2 linked regions of the Arabidopsis thaliana genome follow. The protein of the gene in region 1 interacts with the protein of each later gene in a pairwise test. Each region holds a gene or a part of one and is shown in the gene's direction. Other genes may lie near its edges.

Region 1 (3,592 bases):
TTTCTATTTTTATGGAATATTTAGATATGGAGTTTTTATAAATTAAAATTGGGAAACAAATATTTTGTTAATACTATATCAATTGCTGGAAAAGATAAAGCTAAAACTCCGTTTAATTAAAGACAAAATAATTGAATAAATCATCATTTTCTCGTATTAGTGCAAATCTAAAAACCTATTAGTTTATAAACATAGAAAATCTACAAAACGAAAAAAAAATATCATCGTTGTTATATTTTTTTCTATAAAATTAGACTAATTAAACAAAATAGAGAAAAAAGCATTTCAGTCATTTTATAAAAGAAAATAAATAAATATAATGATGTGATACTAATTAATAATTTGACTAATTGTTAAACTTACACTCGATCAATATAAGTTTTAGCCAAATTGCATTAGTTGATGCATGAACTTTACGAATATTCGTTGTATGTAAAGATTTGCACAACAATATAGTATAGATTTTATATTTGGATCGTAACCGTGTGGCATAGTAATATGACTGTTTTTCTTATTGGTGGCGAATTTCAGTTTTCATGTAATTAAACTTTGGAACGTATGGTGTAAGCTTCCAAAACAATTGATTAAAATTACAAGAGCCCATGAAGATCGAAATCACTCTTCTCCAATAGCCAAAGCAAACGCCTAGAAAAATACCCTGCAAAATTCAACAAAAGTCGAAAGAAAATAAGATACTAAGAATGAATAACTTAAGTAAGCATGACATGAATTCAACAATGCCAACACGTCTGCTTCTATATTTCAGAGAAATCTTAATCTGGCCTCACCACTAGAAGCGACAACGAATTCAGAAATACACAATTTTCACCATTTACTTGAGTTTCTAAGTTACTACTTACTAGTTACTACTATTAAAAGTTATTGCGAAAAGTTTACCTATAGGGCAACTTGATCGAGATACGACTAATATATACAACTTGATCAAAGTCGAATAATATAAAAAGATCCCATGGACCAATCTGTTACATAAGATGGCTGCTGAATTTTTTCTTTATCCAGAGTCTACTTATTTAAGGTTGATTTGTTTTATATATAAGAAAATACATAAGGAGGAAAAAGGGCATCAAAACTATAGTCCAATTGTTTGATGGAGTATTGGTTTCACTGTATCTTTTTCTTGAACAAAAACTTTTAAAATGCATTTGAAGATAAAATTATATTAGTCCAATATCGCGTCTTTCTTTCTCAAGCCGTCTCTTTAACCATCTTGTGTCTTGCGGGTTCGAGCTCTTATAAGTGCATCAAACAAATTTCTTTAAGATTTAACCTCAAAATTTATCATTCTACTATGTCTTTTTTTAGCATTTTCCTATTAATAGTAAATAGTACTGAAACTATATAAAAAACATTTGGAGACAATATAAATAGAAACGGAAAACGGCAAATGATTAAAAATTTAATTACAAGTACGGTATGGATAATTCTTCAAGTTATCGATTATTGTATGTTTATTTTGGTATTTGAACTTCAAGATATCTTGGTGAAATAATATGGAAGACATCATTGTTTTACCTAATATATATAATTAATTGTCTTCAATGATATAAATTATATATAATGTGTAGGGGAAAATAACATAAAATAGAATGATTGCACACCATTGAAATTACATCCTAGGATCCGGGTTCACTACTAAACCCTATGGACGTTTTCACTTAAGTATATAAAAACAATAAGGTGTATAAAAAAAGTAAACGAATCATCTAAAGATATAACTAGAGCAAAGTAAATAGGAGGGGAGATATCTATAAAACTTGTTCTATAAATAGAGCTGCATAAGACAGTACTTTATCACATCCAAACCCAAAGCAACACAAACAAATATTTGCTATCTACTCTATAGTTTCATATACAAGTAATCCAAAAAAGATGGCAGTTATCAAGAAACACATAACCTTCTCATTGGTCTTGTTGTGTCTCATTGTGGTGTCTCCAATGGCTAACGCTCAGAGTGGTCTTGGTGGTATCAATGTCCCCATTATCAATGGGGTTCTCTTTTGCACCATCAATGGCGCCCCTCTCAATGGCACTCCGGCCCCGGCTTTCGCTAGTTAGTTGTCCATTCTTAACCTATACTATATATACGAACTAATAAAAAGATTCACGAAATCATATTTATCTTAATGACGAATATTCACAAAAAGATAATATTTATGATCTCTTTGTTGACATACTAATTTAATGGTGCAAATAACAGATGCGGTCGTCCAGCTCCAGTGTGGAAACCTAAACAGAGTCGTAGCAGAAACAATTACGAACATTGCCGGATTATTCACGTTTTCTACAAACGGAATTCAGATATCCCTTCCCACACTCCTCAACGATTGTCGTATCGTCGTCCCAACCCCTCGCTCCAGCTGCGACGCCACCCTCCCTTCCACCGGACAACTGATCTCCCAGTTAAATCTCGTCGGCAGTATCGTCTCCGGCCTCCTCAACATAGTCGCTATCCTCCCAACCGGTTTTATCCCCACAATCTAACTAAAACCAAACTATAAGCATAATTAATGTTCGGTTACAGTGTGTTTCCCTTCTCTATATATGTTTTGTGTCATGACCATTTACGTTTGTTTGCGTATGCATGAATAAGGTCAAGTTTCTGTCTCTGTCTTTGAAATAAAGCTCTTGTAAAACTTCTGTTTCCAGGGTCTTGCATGCATGTATAGTGCTGTAATGAAATGTAACAAATAATTTCCCTTTCTATCCCTAGCTATATATATATATATATATATATAAATATATATATTTTTTGGTAAACTGTTAAGTAAGCGTCCAATATATATTTGCTTTTATTTCACCTTTATTTTTATTTTACATCGAGTTTATCGAGTTTCGTATTTATTACACAAGTAGGAGGAAAAAATAAGGACAAGTTTAATTAGTGATGTAGCGTCTATCTTCCTATTTCCTTTTACGTCTTTTCCTTTTCAAGTTCGTCTTTGTTTTTGGGCTTTCGTTTTTGTTATTAGGTTTTCTTTAAACTGTGTCGGCTATTTGTTGCTTTAGCCTCAAGTTTCAACAAGGGATTTATTCTTAAGTTCGTATAAGTACTCTTAAACTTGTAAGAGATACGGTGGTTGTTTTGAATAAGAAAACAGAGAAGCTTTTCTCTATCTCAAGTCTTTGAATTCTCCTCTTCTCTTGATCTATTGATACTCGAGAATACTGAGAACTCTTAGCTACGGTTGCTAATTCCGTGATCCATCGATACTCGGAGTTTCTAACGTATTTACCGCTGTATTAATTAGCTAGACTTCAAACCGACATTAACTGTGTTAAGAAAAAAAAACTGTAAGTAATGCTTTTCGCAGCCGCTTTAGAGACATCCCTATCTCCTTCGCTAATTTGCACACTTCGTACGGGCTTCTCTCCTCTCTCTCTTAGATCCTTTCGTTTTCTATCCTAAATTCCAACAGTATTAATCCTCATCACTTTTATGGATTTTAATCTCCTTGTTGTTTCTGTAAATTATCGACTCTTTCTTGTTTATTGATTACCCTATGTACTAGTGTTGGGAAATAATTAATTAATCTCCTAATGATGTGGATATTAATTTGATCTTCTCTTCTGC
Region 2 (3,378 bases), on another chromosome or scaffold:
AGATGATCCTTATATATTTCCTGCTAATGCAGAATGCATTTGAAATGGCAACATTCATCTGGTTCTTGGTAAGGCCACCTTATAAAATGCATCAATACTTAAATCAGCTATGCAAAGTTTTTCAGTTTTTGAGAAGATCATCAATTTCATGTATCAGTGGGGAATCAAGGAAAGATCTTGCTTCATGAAGAACCATGTGATGATATCAAGCCGGCTAATTTCTGGGTGCGTTTCAAATACACAACAATTCGCAGCAACACACTGTCTCTTAAGATTTTTTTTTTCTTTCTGGTGAATGCAGGGTTCTCGTTCAGTTCTGGTGTAGTTATGGCACTGTGCCTCTCAATGTAATCGTTACTCAGGTTCGTCAAAACCTTTCATATATCTACAATTCCACAATCTTAAGCCTATCCAAGTCTGTGACTAAACATCGTTCATAAAAACTCTATGGTTTCACCTGAATCTGAACAGATGGGATCTCGGCATAAGAAAGCTGTGATAGCAGAGAGCGTAAGAGACTCACTTCACAGTTGGTGCAAGAGAGTGAAAGAGAGGTCTAAGCACACGAGATCAGTGTGTTCCCTTGACACAGCAACAATAGACGAGAGAGACGAGATGACAGTGGGGACATTGTCTAGGAGCTCATCGATGACTTCACTGAATCAGATTACCATAAACTCCATAGACCAAGCAGAGTCTATATTCGGAGCAGCAGCTTCATCCAGCAGTCCTCAAGATGGATACACGTCGAGGGTGGAAGAATATCTGTCTGAAACATACAATAACATCGGTTCGATACCGCCTTTAAACGATGAGATTGAGATTGAGATTGAAGGTGAAGAAGATAATGGAGGGAGAGGAAGTGGGAGTGATGAGAATAACGGTGATGCTGGAGAAACACTTCTTGAGTTGTTTAGGAGGACTTGATCTTGTTTCTGCTTTTAGAAGCTTGGTTCAGTTGTAATTACTTGACATCCATACAAGAATAACAATTAACAAAGTAAATCTTTTGTTGGTCCAGTAAAAAAAAGTATTCAATGATCAAAGTACATCTTTTGTTGGTTCAGAGGTAAATTTAAAATATAATAGCATGGATTGGAACGAGATATTATGGCATTAGGAAACTTTTTGATTATGGCAGTATAAACAAAGACCACAAATTATGGCAGCTATACATATATTGATTTCAAAACAGAGATAAAGACTTGTCACCTGTCATTTGATTATTTATGAATTTACCTCTGCAGCATTTTCCTTCTTCTGTGCAGTCACGCCTACCGATGGATTTGATTAATTTCCTGTCGATTATTACTAAGTTGTATTTCTAGTAAATACAACTTAAAAGTAGTTTTGTACTCGGTCTTAAAACTAGTTTTGTACATAGTTTTTGAGTAAGATACTTTGTTTTTTTTGGGACAAAGAGTAAGTTAGTAATATCAAATTTTATCATAGTGATTGTTAATTTATGTCAACTACGAAATTAAGAAGTTATCAAATCTGATTTGAGTTATGATAACAATGTCATTGATAGACTCGGTCAATTATGGCATTAAGAAAATCTAAGGATTTAAGTAACCAGGTATCAATTATTACCGCCGTTGGTATTGACTTTTAAATAAGACTTGCCAGTTGTCACACACATGTCATAAACAATTGTTTTTTTCTTCTTCTTTTCATTCAAATGATAAAATTAAACTTGCACTATACAGTTTCTATAGAATCATCCATCACTAGATCTGGTCTGGCGATCCCCAAAAGATCAAGTCAAAAATGAATAACAGAGAAATGAAACATGGTAAAAAAAAAGACGAGAAGATGCCGGTTTTAGTGATGCCAGGTTTCATAGCCGGAGCAACATTTCTGGTTATTTGGATCATACGACGTGAGTTCCTTTTATCTTACTTTTGGTGTAACATAGATTTCCTTGCTTCTGTTTATCTTTTGAATAATCCATATATAGGCTATAGAAAGGGCTCCACCAAAACTAACTCGCCGCCACCATCCGCGCTTCCAAAGGCTCGAGAATGTGGTCCTGTGGCGTCCACTAAACCTAACTTAACACCTGCGCCGCCGCTAGGTCAGCCACGGCTATACGCTCAAGAATCTCAACAGTACAGTCTTGTGGCGTCCAATGAACCTGACTTGACACCTGCGCTGCTAGGCCCGCCACCGCTATACGCTCAACAGTCTCAACAGTTTAGTACTATTGTGGTGTCCAGTGAAACCGACATACCCCAGCTTCTGGTTCAATGTTGTCCGCCAGATGGAGACCGTGGATTAACAAATCAATACTATGCGGGACAAGAGTTCGACTTAGGAGGACACGACAAGGACAGCGATTCCGATTAAGAGTAGAGTACTTTTTTAAACAACTTTTGATTATGAATTTACCTCATCCACCATTTTTCTTCTCTTTATCTTGTGTGCACCGGCATCTTTAGACTATAATATATGTCGTAAGAAGAAGAAGAAGATTATAATTGGTTGATTTCAGTTATTTTATTATCAAAAAGGAAAGAGAGGATAATGTAATGTTGTAATCTTATATATATATATCCGAATCAGGGCGTCATTTCAGTTTACTAAATCATTTTTATTTATCTAATTTATGAACCATAGATGCGTTAAAACGTCTACTTAACCTTTTGTAAACTTGAGTGAATTGATGAATGGAGTAAAATTTCAAGTTTCATCGCATTCGTTTGTGTTATTAAGTTTTGTGCTGAGAGCAAATCTTCTTTTAGCCAAACAATGGGTGTTGTGGATTTCTAGACTTGATTTTATTTTCTAGCAAACTAAATAAAGTTTTGGGCCCAATGGGCCTGACTCATTGAACAACAAACTAGCCGTTGGTCCGTGTTTGTGCATAGCTCGGAGACGAGAGGTTGTACGTGTACGGAAAGTAACAGTACGGAGATTAGTCATGAAAAACAATAAACATGGTGCTTTTATGTTTTATATACTCCAAAAAGGGGTCTGCGTGACAGTGAGATAGACAGAGAGAGAAGAAAAAGAAGCGAGTGAGCAAAGTTTCTCAAAAATGACGAATCTGTTTCTAGGGTTTTTGGTGATTTCGTTTTGCTTACTTGGGAATTTGATTCACGCAGCTGACGGCTCGATTCACGACTACAACAACAGCGGAGGCTTCACCAAAATCGCCAATGCTCGCTACTTCGTTGGTGGTTCTGAAGGAATCTATGGTTCTGAGTTTCTGGATGTTCATCATGCTTCTTCTGATACACCTCTGCTCAAGGGAAACTCCTTCATCAGGTACGCATTTCGTTTTCTCTTCTGACTCTGTTCATTTCCTACTGAGTTAGGGTTTTATGTGCGATTTTATAGTGTGAGCTTGTAGATTTGGGTTTTACCGCTTCTTAG

What was found.
Region 2: the proteins of AT3G16670 (region 1) and AT1G10990 interact in a protein complementation assay, tested with the Arabidopsis thaliana proteins (one large-scale study listed by BioGRID).

The regions. Positions count from the first base shown.
Region 1 is NC_003074.8:5,679,610-5,683,201, forward strand, and holds AT3G16670 (Pollen Ole e 1 allergen and extensin family protein), read left to right. Parts: upstream 1-1,770; 5' UTR 1,771-1,890; coding exon 1,891-2,071; intron 2,072-2,218; coding exon 2,219-2,502; 3' UTR 2,503-2,753; downstream 2,754-3,592.
Region 2 is NC_003070.9:3,669,484-3,672,861, reverse strand, and holds AT1G10990 (uncharacterized protein), read left to right. Parts: upstream 1-1,670; 5' UTR 1,671-1,770; coding exon 1,771-2,349; 3' UTR 2,350-2,619; downstream 2,620-3,378. Other genes in the region: MLO4 (Seven transmembrane MLO family protein), read left to right, coding at 33-68, 158-225, 302-362, 472-927; AT1G10980 (Lung seven transmembrane receptor family protein), read left to right, coding at 3,041-3,270.